Linked DNA regions of Mytilus edulis. The protein of the gene in region 1 interacts with the protein of each later gene in a biochemical or structural test. Links are inferred from orthologs where the notes say so. Each region holds a gene or a part of one and is shown on either strand. Other genes may lie near its edges.

Region 1 (8,643 bases):
CTAAACTGTTGGAACCAAAACTCCTAAAATCGATCCCAACCTTCCCTTTGTGGTCATAAACCTTGTGTCAAAATTTCATAGATTTCTATTTACTTTTCAATTTTTGCAGTCATATAAAAATGAGGTCATCAGACTTGTTTTCTTGCTTCATAGTCATGATAGTGAAAAAGGTAAATTCACAATATAGTACATGTATATCATTTTACAATATAGTACATGTATATAATTTTAAAAATAAAAGTTACTTTATCTGAGTTATCTCCCCTTATGTAGCACAGTTGAAACTAGACAAAGTGATGCCCTCACACTCAACTCTGAAGTAACAGTATTATAACAAAGTCAATGTGAAACTGAGATATTATTGTGTCTGGGAGATACAAATGATGACCTGGCAGATGCAAAGTGTCATCTTAAAATGCACAAAGTTGAGGATGAGAACACATAGGTTCACTGTGAAGGCTTTTCTACTAAGTGATACTTCTTAGCATTCAAACTGTAGGAAGATTTACCTGGAAACGCTTGGCACCACTTATGCAAGAAGGCTTTTCTACTAAGTGATACTTCCTAGCATTCAAACTGTAGGAAGATTTACCTGGAAACGCTTGGCACCACTTATGCAAGTTAATAGACCTATTGTTATCAGCTATTTCAAAATCAAAGATGGAGGGAGACATTCAGGCTACCTTGAGCCTTACAAACCCAAAGCAATGTCATGTTTACAAAATTTCAGGGTTTTGGGCTATCAAACTGTCAGATTAAGAAAAATTAATATGTACCTGTTTGGCTTCTAATTTCAGATCTGGAAAACTGAAGGTCTGTGCATGCTGAAAGTATCAAAGATATGATTCACAATTAAGCAGTCAGAGCTCAGACATAAATAAGTCTAAATCTGCTTTTGACTCACAGAGGTCTAAACTTGAAGGTTTTAAAATTTGTCTCCCTTTAATTTAAGACAAATTATGACGTCGAATAGTGTTTAGCAAAAAATATTTGACCTGAATTAAAAAGTTGCAAATATTGACTCCTACAAGTCAATAAGTTACCAAAATTGATAATTTTCAAAATCCAAGCATATTTAAAAAAAAGTTCAAGCATCTACATGAAATTTTGACAACATTGGAAGACAATGCTTTGTCTTCTAAATAAAAATATGCATGCGAGGCTAAAAAAATGGAATTGATGTTTATTTACTTATCAACATGATCAATGCAACCATCTTTAATCACACAAAATAAGGAAAATAATTTATGCTAAGTAAAAATGTTCAATAAGATAATTACATATAGATATATTAAAACATATATATAAAAAGAATTCAGACATCAACATTAATCAGCAGTAATTAGCATTTTCTTTCAATTGACTGTGATCCTAACAAGTCTTTTGTCTTGTGTAATAACAAATAGTTACACACACAACGGTACAAGCCGATCCCCAAGCTGATACATACAAACTTAAAATATGTCATGGTGTGTTATTTGGCTTAAATTTGTGTTAGTGTTATTTTGGATAAAAAATATGTTTTATTTTAAGAAAGAAAATTTTATGTTTGTATTTAGTAAAATATTAATTAATTTGTTTAATTGATTTTACCTATGCTGTGGCATTAATACTCGAAATGTAACAGTTTGCTCAAAGCACTTTATTTTGAAATATAAATTGCAATTAACATATGTCACTTTGAAAGTTTAGATTTTTATCAAAACATTACAGGATTATCCTTTGTCAATTAAAGTATATTTTTGCTAATGAGAGTATTATGAATGTGTCAAGACATATTTATTTATTTTAGATTTTGGTATAAATATTGTTGTGAAATTTTGGAAAGGCAGTCAGTGTTTCGGAAGCGTAACCTCACACTACTAACGTCATTATACTGGACCTATAAGACTGTCTACCAGTTGGCGGTGTAGTGTTAAGACAAAATTTATCTCTGACTTATAAATTTAACTTTAGAAAATACTTTTGAGAAACTTTTATTTTGAGACTTTTATATTTTGAAATTGAGATTAAGTACATTTTATGTTTTAGTAGTTTTGGCATTTATTTTTATATTTTACATTTTAAGGAGAAATAACTTTACTTTGGATTTGATATTTAGATTTGATACTTTGTACTTTGATTAGATTATTATTATTATTATTTGGAATTGTTTACAAATTGATTTGTTATCATCATTCGACTAAGTTTTTATAGTAATCATGGTAATTAAATTATGAAAACCTTCCTTGCGTTTTAGCTATGCCTATCAGAACATTAAGTCTAGCCATAGACTGACCCCCTGTTCCTTCGTTCCATCACATACGAGTAAGCTCCCCCTTATCTAACAGTGCTCTCGAGTGGACCTTGGTGACAGATATATTGACTATATTCAATATTACAAAAAAAAAGTGTTATATAGAAGCCTCTGATGTTACCTGAAATAAAATTACAATTAATTATTATTATATACACCAAACAAAAGATCAAATTATAAAGACATACCTGTCAACTGACCCGTATTCTGCGGGTGTGACCTGAGATTTTCACAATTCTGAGGGATCACCCGGGTCACCCGCCGGGTTATTGAATAACCTGGGAATTCCGAAAATGACCCGTTTTCACCCGTATTTCTTAGCCATGAGATTGATTTCTTAGGTAATAAACCTTTGAAATACCAGCAAATTCGTCCATGAACAGGAAGTTCATCTAGCTGTGTAAACTGTCAAATTAAGTGACCCATTAAGTGCTTGGCTTTACTTGACAGCTTTGGTGTCAAACACAGTGTTAATTAACACCAATTACCTTAGCTTTAGGTCGTAAATAAATTGCACTGTTGTTTTACAAACATATTTCAACTATAATAATATATCAACTGAAATTCAGCTGGAAAAAGTTTGTACGCATTATGACCTGAGATTTGATTCTTCAATGCAGGTCATGACCTACATTTTCATCGTCACAGGTTGACAGGTATGTAAAGACCTTGTTGATTACGCAACTTTAATTAATCGATCGGGATTTGATTGAATTAAGTGATTATTACGAGTGGCATTACCTTAGTTCACAATCATTAGACAATTGTTGAATAAACAAACCAATTGTAGACTAATGATTTCGTTTATATATACTGTTCAAATTTGTCAAAAATTCCTCCATATAGTGAATATAGTTTTTTCATATTTTATTATGGGGCCGGATCGACTTGGGTCCGGATCGACTTGGACCGGATCGACTTTGGGCCATATTGACTTGGGGCCGGATCGGTTTGGGGCCGAAAAGACCGGATACCAGTGATCTATAGATGTTAATTTTTGTGTCTTTTGGTCTCTTGATGAGAGTTGTCTCATTGGCAATCACACCCCATCTTCTTTTTTATAATATATTTCATTTTAAGATTATTCTAGAAAAAAAGATGAATTTCTAAAGAGAAAACTGGTACTTGACCAATAAAAGGTCTTTGATACGGAATACTGTTCCAAATAATAATAATAACTTATATGTTTTGAATTGACTTATTTCCATTCTTACAAATGTATATATAGTCCATACCTTTGTTGTTAGTTCAAGTAGCACACTGCATGCTTCTTTGTCAGATCCACTGTTTAAAATACGCAAGCACCTGTCGTCAATATTCATTTTGATAACAGAATATTGCTAAATAATATGTTTGTTTATGATATTCAGTGACATCTTCAGCTTCATCATTTTATGCGATTTCAAATAGTGTTCTGCAGTTATAAATAAGTGCGTGCATATACAGCTTTTATGTCTTACGGAATCAACATGTAATACAATACAATACAATATTTTTGTTTTCCATATTAATTAAAGGGCCAATTAAGAGCATAACATTAATTACAACATGACATAAACATTACAGAGTGATTAAAGAAACGTAAAATAATAATTCAAATGCTTGAGGAAAGGATCTTCTTCTTCTTCTTCTCTATGTAAATTCCTCCGCAACGGAGCACCCGTGTCACACGGTAACAGAAAAAAACCCTTATTTTTATTTATTACTGTTTAAAAATATGGAGCAAACCAGATTAGAATATATACAATCCTTAAAAGATTATCGTTGTCCTAAAACCGTTTTTTAATGTAAAAACTAACATAAAAATATTTACACCTACTATTTTATGTACATTAAGCATATAATAATGTTAGTCAAAATATCTTAAAACGTACAGATTAAAAAGGAGTGAAATAGATTTACTGGTAAAAGGTAAAAGGACATAGTTTATTCATTTATTTCTTGACAGAAAAATAAAAGGATTATAAAAATATAGATTGGTATTTAATGATCTGGGATTTATCATTACTATGTACACGACTAAAATTAAAATTAACTGTTATGTTACTGTACAGAACATGCAGAATTTATATCAGTTTATTTCCATTTAACCAGTTGTTCTACAGTTAAAATAGAGGTTGATAATATAGAATCATAATACTTTTATAAAATCTAAAATATTTGATCTGAGATATTACCAATTTAGGCCTTTTAAAAAAAACTAAAATATTGTATATTCCTTTTTGTGTTACATTGCCCAATTAAGTTTACTCTTAAGCTTCCTTTTAAGATATATGTCTGATAATTAACTAACTCAATTTTTATTTTTGGGGGTAAAAATTAATTAATAGTTATCTAGACATTGCACCCGGGGTCTTTTGCCTCAGACTGCTTTGATACTGCCATCCTTTTGTGTAATAATGTTCTGCCACAATGGAGGTCATAGCACAGTTTTCTGCTTATTCTTTCTATCTCTGTTGTAATTTCTTCGTCGAGAATTTGAATATTTTCCCGTACTTTGGTTGAGTCAATAATTATTTGCATTAATAGTTCTTTGTTTCCATTGAAGTGCAAAGGTCAAAGGTCAAAGGTCAATTAAGGGGAGATAATTTTGATTTTCTAAGTTGCAGGCCTTTATCAATGCTCGATAACGAAATGTATCATTTATCAACTTTGTTTAATCTACAGGGGCGGATCCAACCATCTCAAAAAGGGGGGTCCCAACGCCGAGTAAAGGGGGATTCCAACTATATGCTCCCATTCAAATGCATTGATCGTCCAAAAAAAGGGGGTTCCAACCCCCGGAACCACACCCCCCCCCCCTGGATCCGCCAATGATCTACATATGCGTCGCTTAACAGGTATGTATTTCTTAATAGCCTAATAGTCAACGATGTGTAATTACGAAATATTAGAATTTTCATGAAAACAATAAAGAGGTACAACAGTGAATTAAGGGGGCTCGCGGGTATAAATTTTTTTTTTCTAATATAAGATTTTGCCATGCAGATAGGAAAAGGAAGGAAAATAAAATAAATAACTTTATTTATACAGTGCATGCCATTTTCTTAAGTTTATGGTCCACCAGTAATGCTTCTGTCACAACAAAAGACGATTCCTCCTGCCAGTGCTTTCTTAATGTTTTTCCGCAAGTATACATTCACCAAGTTATTGCTGTAATGCCAGAATCGAACTCATTTGTAAATTCAAAAGAAAATAAACCCAGAAACCCCTAACGCCAGGGCATAGTCGAAATATGTATAGCGCAACTGCATGTTAATAAATCATATATATATAATTAACGGCGTACATGTTCCTCATGCATGACAAAACTTGAAATAACACAAAAAAGTAAAATCACAAATACTGAACTCAAATCATCAATTGTGCAAAAAGATGTACTACTGCGGTAAACATGCTGGATGTCAGGAGATTTAGAATAATAACCAAATTTCATATCAATATGATATTACACCATGCCAGCACGATCTTCTCACCGACAATTATATAACTGTATAAGAATAAGCTTAAAATCTAAAAGGATATTTTATACACAATAAGTATCATTATTTTGAAAATGTCCTTAATGATATTCATTCAAAACATCGACTCAGTACGCAGATCTGAGTGCAAGTGTATCATTTTTTTCATTGTTTAAATTTACTGTGTGTATAATAAATGAATACATGTTGTCAAAGTGCATCTCTTAGACAATCAATAGGTAGTCATTTGAGGCAACCGATACTATTGTCTAATTATTAGAGGAATTGCGAAAAGACTCTAAATCAGAAGGTTAAATGAAAGAACCAGTGGATCGTTAAAATGCACTTTTCATCCATTGGCTCATTATATCTTTTTACCTAACCATTACTAATCTATTTAGTCTCCTTAACATAACTTCAAACATAAAGTTTTAAGGAGGCTCGCGGGTACAAAAATTTCTATTTATTACACTATTAGTTATTACTTTATGATATGGTACAAAAATCAATAAAAAAAAACCATTCGGTTTGGCCCCAGATGACTGTTATCAAAATGTATTTATATCATTGAAAAAGCTCCAAATTATCTCCCTTTGGTGCAAAAATGCCATTTTTTTGGCATTAAAATTGAAATATTTTTTTTAACTCATCGGTTACATATATTTTTTATTATTGTTTTCAAAAAAGCTGTTCATAAACTAAATAATTGTAAAATTTTAACGATTTCTGTAATTTAGTTCTTTTTTTTTTATTTCGATACTACCTTTTTTTCTCCTATTAGTTCTGAGACTACTATAACACGTGGTCTCAGATTAGTTCAACCAGAGACATATATGTGTATATATGTCTCTGGTTCAACAGAAAAAAAGTACATTAACAAACATTTAATATGCTTCTTTCGGTGGCAGATTGTCAACTTAAATGAACGGTGACCCCATTTTTTTATTTCATTTTTCTATTAAGTATATGATAAAGTTCATTTATAAAAAAAAATATAGGGTAGCACTTTTTTATTTTTTATATGGTTCTTTTTTTATTATTATTCTAGGCGTTAGTATTTAGGATTTGATTGATTCTTCACACTTATGCTGCTGTCCTAACCTCGAAATATGCATATTTGCAATTTTAAACAAAATATATTATAAGCTTAATTTCTGAGATGTTTTGACGTTCATTTTATTCAAAATTTAACTTTTTAAAAATAACATTTGACACTATCTTTTTACTACCCTTATAACATGAAGCCATGAATATTCTCAGTCAATACTTTATGCCTTAAAATTGAATGTTTTGTTTCTCTCTGTCTAACAGTGTATAAAAGAGAAGATGTGGTATGATTGCCAATGAGACAACTGTCCACAAGAGACCAAAATGACACAGACTTTAACAACTATAGGTCACCGTACGGCCTTCAACAATGAGCAAAGTCCATACCACATAGTCAGCTATAAAAGACCCCGATAAGACAATGTAAAACAATTCAAACGAGAATTACTTAAATAATGTGGCGGGTTAAACATGTTAGCCGGATCCCAACCCTCCCCCTAACCTGGGACAGTGGTATAACAGTATATAGTTAATATGCTACACGTTTATTGACAATCTTTGCCTGGTCTTATCATATTTAGTTTTTTCTCCATGTTTGCTTTTGTAGATTCTAGGACTGGCGAATTTGAAAATGAATCTTAACTTTTGAAATATTTTGTAATACTCAGAGATGTATAAATTAATGCAATATCTAGTTCACTTTTTGTTTGGCAGAATCAAAACATCAACTTGTGTTTAAGCTCTCCGGTTCAAAATATATAGTGGATTCGAAGCTCTTCGGCCTAGAGTAACTTCAGTGTTTTATATTTGGATTCAAGTTGTACAAGGGACAGTTTCAGTGATCAATTATCAATAACAGTTGTTTCTTTCTTTCTTCTTCATGAATTCATGAATATCAGGACGATCTTCTTTCCAAATCCCTTCGCTGCAATCATATCTTATATTAATATTTCATATTTTTGAATAAGATAAGAACTAGCGGTAATGATATCAATTATTTTAAGGAAAGATTAGAACATTTAATTTTGAATCAAAATGTGTGTTGAAATTGAGTCTAAAACTGTTTGCCATATATAAGGTAACTTGTTATGGTTTAATTTCGGTGATTTGAAAATGAGAATATCGATATATTTTTTTTTTCAAAATATGCTGATATTCAAACATTCGACTGCTTACGGATTCATTTTGTTTTATATCATATTTATGAACAACCTTCGATTTTATATGCGTTCAATTGTTCTTAATTCATTCGCCTTAGCTGAAAAAAAACCCAATCATTTACGTATGTTGATATCACAAAAGCAACCGTATATCGATCATAATAAGCAACACTACACTCACTATAAGGGAAAACGATCACTGCGGATCCAGCATCTAGAAAAAGGGGGGCCCGGGGAGCCTGGGACTAAACCTGGGACATTATATTGACATAGTCCCAGCCGAAATTGGAAAAAGTAAAAAAAATCAATGCATTAACCCCATATGTTGCTCCATAAGGGGTGGGACCCCTAAATACTCATTTAACTATAAAATTCGATTTAATTAAAAAGTGCTATTTGTGTACGCAAAAAGAAGTTCTGATTAGGTATAACGTACTGTAAAGTAATATCGGTATTAAAACGGAATCTGATTGGATTATTTCGGCCAATGAAAGAAAAGATAACAAACAGACAGAAGTTTACAAAACGAGACTCATTTTTATTGAAAATTAAGAGAATGGTTTAAATAAAACCTTTTCATTGAGAAGGTACACATTAATTGTAACTTAATAGATAGTCTTTAATCTTTATAATCTGTACATGCTTTCATACCTGGTCAAAAACCAAGGATCTTGTTTCT
Region 2 (9,043 bases), on another chromosome or scaffold:
TCCAAAATGTCAGCAAATATACATCCATATCTGTTCATTTTCGATTATCAAGCATAATTAACATTAAAATACGATAATATTCTTACCTAGAAGCAGTAATTTGATGTCTTTCGCAGCTTGGATACCATCCTCTTTCAAATTTTTCTCTATGGCCTTACTTCTCTCAAGGGCCGCCCTATCCTCTGCACTCATAGTACACCCCATTTTTATGCACGTCTTTAATCTAAAAATCCTTTAATTAACGATGTATTCCACCCCTGAGCCTGATATGTATGCTCAAGCTCTAAAGAGATGGAATTGTTAAAAACCAAACAATGTGGTGTATTAATATATTTTAAGTACAATCCAAATAATTCGTTATTATCATATATTCATTGAATATACAAGTAAAAGCGATTGACTCACAGAATCACCTCTCGTATTTACATCCAACTACCTTACTCATCACACCGTTTTAGCGATGCCGGTAAAAACACGGACATGTATGAAAACTTCATATATTTTTAGCTAAAGCATATCTCCGGCTAAATATTTCATCAACAAAATGGCTACCCATATACCGGTTTCATAGATGCAAACAAGCCACACGACAAAGCCTGTTTAAATATGCGGCAACTTGCTACCATCCAATGTAAAAATCGATCGCTTCGTTGTGCAGATATCTTTTCTGTTATGGGGGTTACTAAGTGACGTCAGTCCGCGCACGGGCTTTTAATACATTAATCCGCAGCCTCCGTTGCTAAAAATGCATAAAAATCAATGTCAACTTTTTGTCTTTAAACTGTTAATCGAATATTAAACACGCGTTTCTTCAGTATACCTTGGAAATCTTGTAGCATACAAAATGAATTGTCTGTAGATAACATCAGCAGACGAACACAGGTAGCTGATGATGCTGATTGGGCGGTGCCACTGCCTGTGAAATCAATTTTCTAAGGCGATGTCTATTTATGCGTACATTTTCACGTGTAAATATATGGAAAACTTAATGAGAGAAAAATGTTATGTCTCTACAGCTGGTGGAAATAATTTAATTGTGTGTTTGGTCATTAAAACTAGTTGACAGATGCCGCAGATCGATAAGTTTAATAAATGTAGAACTAACGCCACCTGGTGTTAAATGCAATCTACTAATTGATGAATGAACACAATACATGAATGGATAATTAATAAAAAGGTGTGACTATCGCATTTGATCTGACAGAAAATTAGTTAATTATAAGAATTTTGTTTTTAAAATCGTAATGTTTTAACACTCAATTTAACTTTCCATAATTTGGAAGGTCGCATATAAGTAAAAGTAAGTATACTGAGTATATACCACAGCAGTGGTAAGAAACGCTTAGGCGACAGTAAGCCTTATTATGCCTTATTTGGAATAAAGTATTGTACTCTACCAGTTAAAGTGACATACAATCCTCCTTATTAACTATTAAAAACTAAGTTTTTCTGAAATAACGAGGACACACAGGTATACGTAACAAAAGATATATTTCCTTATTTATAAATCTAAAAATAGGTCCCTAAAAACGAGAGATCTTTGACGCAATTATAGAGAAAACTCACATTTGGCATTTTGAAATTTCGTACTCGGATCAGAAAGACGCATCAAATTTACGGTACCTCGAATTAGGTAAGATTCCCACGAGCCTTTGATTTACAAACAAGCTATATTTTCATGTAAATATAGAAATGTTTAACGTCAATAAATATATTGATAAAAACCTACTTATCCTTGGGAATGTTTGGACCCATGGCCAGATGATACACATATTTGACAGAAAACTGGAAAGGATAAAAAGAAGAGTAATGCATGCAGTTTTATAAAATATTAATCTGTACTGACCCACAAAGTAGTTGTTTTTTGTTGTTGTATTAAATTCTTACATTTTAAGGGTGCATTTTAAAATGTCAATAAATGAACGCAAATTTTTAGTGTAGAAAAAATATAAAAACTAAGAATATTAAAGTATAAAAAACAAAACCTTTAAGGCAAGATTTCATAAGATTAATCAAGAATTTTGATGCTATGCAACAAACAATGTTAAAAGATATTTTTCTATTTAAATATTCTATATTATAAAATTTAGAAATTATTCTAAATTAAGAAATGTATCTCCCCAGGGGCGGATGCAGGAATTTTCGAAAGGGGGGGGGGTGCTAACCCAGGGCAAAGGGGGGTGCAGGGGGTGCAAAACATATGTCCCGATACAAATGCATTGATCGGCAAAAATAAAGGGGGTGCGCACCCCCAGAACCCCCCCCCCCCCTGGATCCGCCACTGCTCCCTCATACTTGTCCAGTTTTTGCAATACTTTTGTATTGGGTTTTGGACTTTTAAAATAATATGGCATCGAGTATCAACGAAGAGACATTAATTTTCGAAATGTGCATCTGGTGCAATAAAAATTGGGACTGTTAATGTTATTTTTCCGTGACAATAGCCATGTTTCCCTAAAATTTCATTACATCATCAACAAACTAACATGAAATGAATATATGGGAATCTTAAGATATTGTCGTGGCAAAACTAATTTTATGCTTATAGATATTTTAAATATGTCTTGATATCCTTAAATAACAGGCTTAACCACAGATTTAATTCGTTTGCAACCATGCTAACACTGTTCATTAAATGTAAAATTAATGAAGGGGAAAGAAATGTTTATTTTGATGTAATATAAAATTAAAACTGGAGTTTTATTACCTACAAACAATTGATATAAGATATGTTTCCATTTAACATAATTTTGAAATTCCAATGGCAATAGATAAAATGTAAACCATGCAAACACATTCAAACACATTCAAAACTGATAAATGTACTGATCACAACTTGACGCCGACGCTACCGGAAAGTACCGACCTGAATAAAACTGAATTTTGAACCAGTCAACACAATTTTCAAGCAAATAATCTTTTAACTGATTTAGTAATAGTTGCTTAACATTTTAAGCTGATATTAAATATTGTATGCGTATTTAGGACGTTTACATGTTATTCACATACAACACGGTTGTCTTGCACTTTAGTTAAAGGTGACAGTTTGCAGAAAGACCAGGTATCCTAAACTGACACCCAGATATTCCCTCTTCTGTGTCCTTTGCAAAGCGGAGAGTCATTATTTAAACTGTTGTCCCCTTTAACGTCCATCATAGAATGGCCAGGACCACATCATTAAATAATAGATTGACTTTTCAGTCATTTTCGGGTATATGCGATTGTTTAGTTTAGTAATTTCGAATAAGGTGCTGTACACCTATATATGCATGGTATTTGGTAAACCCGTATTCTTTATTTGATTGATTCCAGACTATCTTCATGACTAAGGCAACTGTATATAGGGTAGGCGCTTAAATTATGTATAACGATTCTGTTCACACCCGGGATCAGACCCATGACCTCCCGCACTCGAGGTGAGCGCGCTACCGAGGCGGTTAAAAGACTCCCCCTTAAAAACATCCAATTTATTGATTGGTGTCTGGGCATATTTTTTTTATCCTTTTTATATGATATTTATGATACAAAGACTGATACAAACCTACCACTGATCTCTAATGCCCTGTTCATTTTCTTCTATTAAATTAGCACAGACAATTTACTAGCTTGATTTGATGTATTGTGGACATGAAAACTACTCACTTATAGGTGTCCGTACCTGTTGAAAAGATCTAAATACGTAAGCGAAAGTTTTATTTTGATTCGGTTCACATATAACAATGCATCTTATCTTTCTGCTATTATAAATTTTAAAAAATTATCATCAAAGAATAAAAAATAAGCCGGGTCTATCATCTTATATGGATTGATTGATGAATTGATATTTGCTTTACGTCAAGTGGCAAATATTTCGTGCATATTTATGACTAGAACACATTAATGCAATACTGGTAACATCTGCAAAATATCGGGTCGACAAGATAAATATTTTGTTTGTTTTCAGCTAAACGTCCAGTGGAAAATATTACATGCATGTTCAGGACGAGCACAAATCATCAAAATAACAATATGTACGTCCTAAAATAGGATGTCTACCGGGTAAAATGCGTGAAATTTTAATTGTCTGGATAATGTGAGTATCTTGGATAGGGACAGACATTTGCCTTGTAGCAGATTGCCAACGGACCCCACAAAGAGTAAACACCTTAGTCCTTTTGGGATTCGGAGTCCTGAGCAATGTTCAGCAATGGCTGCAATGAACATTACATTGAACAACAAATCGGAGGACTTAACTTGTTTGTATTGGGGATACCTAAGCTTCACAAAATTCCGTACAAACAACGGTACATTGCCGGCTCACCTGCATGTTCCACTAAATAATTGTCCATTTAAATTCTGTCTGCAGTGAAAGAGGGTCTTTGAAATACCGTGAAACTGCTTTCTCGCGTAGTGGTATTAACCATATGTGGATTCTTAAAGTGTTTGTTAACAGTGAACAAACGGGTAAAATATGCTACACAGAAGAACAAGTTTTTTTTTATCGACAACATATTTGTTGAATTTAGAGGTAGACTTTTTCTACAAATAGTCGACATTCCCATAGGAACGACTTGTGCGCCTCTCCATGTCGACCTCTTCTTGTTTTCATATGAATCGGAGTTCCTTCAAACACATGTCAAAAACCAGACCCAAGAAGCCAGATTATCTAATTTCACTTTCAGATATATTGATGATGTTCTTTCCATTAACCATCCGAACTTTTCTGATTGGGTTCCATTAATATATCCCCCAGAACTAGAAATTAAAGAAACAACAGACACGGCCTCCTCCGCCTCATTTTTAGACTTGTACCTCGAATTTTACATACACAGTCATCTCAGTATTAGAATCTATGACAAACGAAACGATTTTTAATTTTGAAATTATCAATTTCCCCCACCATAGTAGCAATATACCAACTCCATCTGCATATGGGATATACATTTTCCAACTTATTCATTCGATATTCAAGAGCATGTTGCTCCGACTCAGACTTTGTAAAACATCACCAGTGTCTGAACAGAAAGTCATATAGTGATTAACCAGGGGTGCGCCAAAGAACGTTTCGTCCTTTTTCTAAAAAAAAAAGTTCATCGGAAGGTACCAAGACCTAGTTGATAAATATTCCGAATAAACTTCACACATAATACATGATGGTCTAGGTGTGTAGATTTTAGGTACTGACGTTGTTTATCATCTTAATAACGTGTTAAATTGTTGTTTTAGATGTCCTTGTTCTATTATTAATATCAGTTTTACAGTTTGGTTGGTTTTGGTGATATTCATTTTACGTGACTCGGTACTTATGCATCCATCCCGTCAATGTATTGTTTGTATTGTCTTTCATTTTTGCTGGTGTACTTTGTACGTTTAACTTTTTGTGTTTCTTTGGTACATACGACGTGGCTCTGTACTTTTAAACATCCCGCCATTATGTTATTGTTCTATTATAATTTTGAAAAAAACTTTGAACGACAAAAATATTTTGTATCTCTAACTGTGTGACGTTTACATTCTGACGTATAACACGCGATTCTACACCAGAGTTGATGTAAACCTAGCCATTCAGTCACAGGTCTTCGAATACTTCAATGTTCATGGGTTGATTTAAAATACAAAAATAAGTAAGCAATTAACGTGGTTGTGAATTTGATATATGCTTTTTTGTGCTTCTTTGTTAAATATTTGTTTGTTTTTGTTCTGATTTAGATTGTGACACGGTGATAACTGCTGTACCCCTATTTTGACAATTTTACCTATAATGTCTGTTTTGTTCACGCATTGTTGTAAATATAATGGAATTTGATGCGACTGTCAAACAAGTGAGAGGGTTAGCGGTATAAAACTAGGTTCAATCCACTATTTTAGTCTACATGTGAAAATGCCTGTACCAAGTCAGGAATATGAGTTATTGTCCATTCGTTTGATGTGTTTTATCATTTGATTTTTCTAATTGATTAGGGTCTTTCCGTTTTGAATTTTCCTCGGAGTTCAGTATTTTTGGGATTATATTTTTGCCTAGAAAAATCGCTCCGGACTCATAGAGTTGCTGCAAGAGTATTTAGAGTGCAGATTGCGCGACACTCGATGTATTCGATTTAACGTCCCCAAGTTCTGACCGGACGTAGGTTCGAATTTATTAATCCCACAAAGCCAACCGAAAGTCCAACTTTAACAAGCGTTTTACTAACTATCTGAAGAGGAACACAGAAAAATCATTTTTTCTACACATTCAACCCCTTTGGGTCCCGGATAAACGTCGAGGATGTCGCCTGCCACTGTAATATATGCACATTTATTGGAAAGGGGTATTGATGTCGCCTTTCAACGAGTTATTTGCTGACCCCTCAAAGGCATTGCACATTCCCATCAAGAACCATAGGATTAAGCATCCCCATTCAAACCAGACGTGGCTTTTCTCATCACTTGGCGTCCGTCGTCGTGAACTTTTACTAAAACCTTCTCCTCTGAAACTACTGGGCCAAATTTAACAAAACTTCGCCACAATCATCATTGGGGTATCTAGTTTTAAAAATGTGCCCTATGACCCGACAAACCAACCAAGATGGCCGCCATGGCTAAACATAGAACATAGGGGTAAAAATAATGTAGATTTTGGCTTATACATGTATCTCTGATAACAAAGCATTTAAAGCAAATCTGACATGGGGATATTGGGAATAAACTCATCATAGATACCAGGACTATTTTTTTTATATACACCAGACGCGCGTTTCGTCTACAAAAGACTCATCAGTGACGCTCGAATGCAAAAAAGTGAAAAAGGCCAAATAAAGTACGAAATTGAAGAGCATTGAAGACCAAAATTCCTAAAAGTTTTCCCAAATCCATGGGATAAATTGTTTAACAGGTTAAGATCTATTTGCCTTGAAATTTTCAGATGAATCAGACAACCTGTTGTTAGGTTGCTGCCCTTAAATTGGTAACTTTAAGGGAATTTTGCCGTTTTTGGTCATTATCTTGAATATTATTATAGATACAGATGAACTGTAAACAGCAATAATGTTCAGCTAAGTAAAATCTATAAATAAGTTAACTTGATCAAAATGGTCAGTTAACCTTTTAAGGAGTTATTGCCCTCTATAGTCATTTTTAAACAATTTGTCGTAAATTTTTGTAATCTTTTTCAAAAATCTTCTTCTCTGAAACTTTTAAGACAAATTTAACCAAACTTGTCCACAATCATCATTAGGTTGTCTAGTTTAAAAATTGTGTTTGATGACCCCGCCCCTGTACCAAGATGGCCGACATGGCTAAAAATAGTAGAAAGGGTAAAATGCAGTTTGAAACCAAAGCATTTAGAGAAAATCTGATAGGATAAAATTGTTCATTAGGTTAAGATCTATCTATCCTACAATTTTCAGACCATTCAGGCAACCCGTTGTTGAGATGCTGTCCCTGAATTGGTAATTTTAAGAAAATTTTGCAGCTTTTGGTTATTATCTTCAATATTATTATAGTTACAGATATACTGTAAACAGCAATAATGTACAGCAAAGTAAGACCTAAAAATAAGTCAACATGACCAAAATGGTCAATTGACCCCATACGGAGTTATTGCCCTTTTAACAATTTTCATAAATTTTGTAAATTTTTTACAAAATATTATCTACTGTAACTACTGGGCCTTGTCATTATAGATAATTGAAAGCAGCAAGAATGTTCAGTAAAGTAAGATCTACAAATGCATGCAGCGGATTACAAGCATTTAACAAGCAAACATTCTTAAACTAATAACTAGTCATATACTCATGCAGGAAGACCAGTCACAGTACTTTTTATTTACTCTTTACTTTGAACTGCATGCTAACGTGGGGCGACCGTATAAAAGTGCGAATGTACAAGTACCCAGCCACGTATGGCCAGAATACGATGCTCCGTGTAGAGATAGTGTCATGCATATTTACCCCCCTCTATCCAGGTTGACCCATGACTTGCGATAAACTGAGGCGACCGTTGGTGCGGTCATGTATAAATACGTAGCCACATTTCGACTAAATGAAGACTTTAAAACATTTGCCTTTTGTACAGAAAGAGCTACACGTACGTTTCCTTCCTTCAATCCCGATTGACTCTTAACCTGCAGGATCTGCCTATTGTAAGTATTGATGATTTTTTCTCGCAATGCACATTCATGAGGTATTTGTCACTTGACGTGCAGCAAATAACAATTAACAATCTGAATGCTTATGTCACAGTGTCGTGTGTTATTTTAATAAAATAACGAAAGTATTAACCCAAGATATCGAAGAATTAATATCCATTTACAATGGCACCACATATCCATGATAAATGGGGTATAACCAAGAAATCATGCCACAGTGTAGGAGACAGTTGTTTAAAAGTCACTTTGTCATATCATGTCTTGATAATAAGAAACGTGGGGATTTATGAAGATAAATGAAAGGATATTTTTAAGTTATTGCGAGAAGTATATTGAGTATTCGTCAATAGGAGACAACAATAAAATTACAACAATACTGAACTCCGAGGAAAATTCAAAGCGGAAAGTCCTTAATCAAGTGGCAAAATCCAAAGCTCAAACACATCAAACGAATGGATAACAACTGTCATGTTTTTGACTTGGTACAGGCATTTTCTTATGTAGAAAACCCAGCATCACAAAAGTCCATAAGATATACCAGCAATTGTATATCATTCCTTGAAATCAAAGACACCAATGTAAACATGCGTATACTAATGAACACTATCTTAAATGAAACACCGGATACGTTGGGTTGTTTTCTCTTCGTGCAATGCAAAGTTTTAAAAATGTCGAGGACAAGACTAAATCAACAACTGATACACTATAGGTATACCGATTCTGCAAGGTAGGGCTCGGTCGGGATAGACATTAGACATTAGACATTAGACATTATTTTATTTTTCCAATCATGGGCCCTTGTCAGGCAAGATACAAAAACATCATAATACAATGATTATATAAACATTAGTGAAATACACAATAAGTAATACACAAATAATAAATTGATAATATGAGTAATGTAGGATATAATTATAGTAAGAGACATTGAGTGCAATG

Evidence for each region.
Region 2: of the proteins of chaperone Ric-8A-like (region 1) and guanine nucleotide-binding protein G(o) subunit alpha, one has a biochemical effect on the other in vitro, tested with the Caenorhabditis elegans proteins (2 studies listed by BioGRID). The link is inferred for Mytilus edulis from reciprocal best matches to the Caenorhabditis elegans genes ric-8 and goa-1.

What each region holds. Positions count from the first base shown.
Region 1 is NC_092350.1:6,076,149-6,084,791, reverse strand, and holds the start of chaperone Ric-8A-like, read right to left. Parts: upstream 3,734-8,643; 5' UTR 3,619-3,733; coding exon 3,532-3,618; intron 825-3,531; coding exon 777-824; intron 1-776. UniProt on the Caenorhabditis elegans protein: Chaperone that specifically binds and folds some, but not all, nascent G alpha proteins prior to G protein heterotrimer formation, promoting their stability and activity.
Region 2 is NC_092348.1:39,848,375-39,857,417, reverse strand, and holds the start of guanine nucleotide-binding protein G(o) subunit alpha, read right to left. Parts: upstream 3,634-9,043; 5' UTR 3,571-3,633; coding exon 3,542-3,570; intron 1,447-3,541; exon of another isoform or gene 1,398-1,446; intron 1,122-1,397; exon of another isoform or gene 224-1,121; coding exon 87-223; intron 1-86. UniProt on the Caenorhabditis elegans protein: Guanine nucleotide-binding proteins (G proteins) are involved as modulators or transducers in various transmembrane signaling systems. In the 1-cell embryo, probably together with gpa-16, controls nuclear rotation and spindle elongation during mitosis.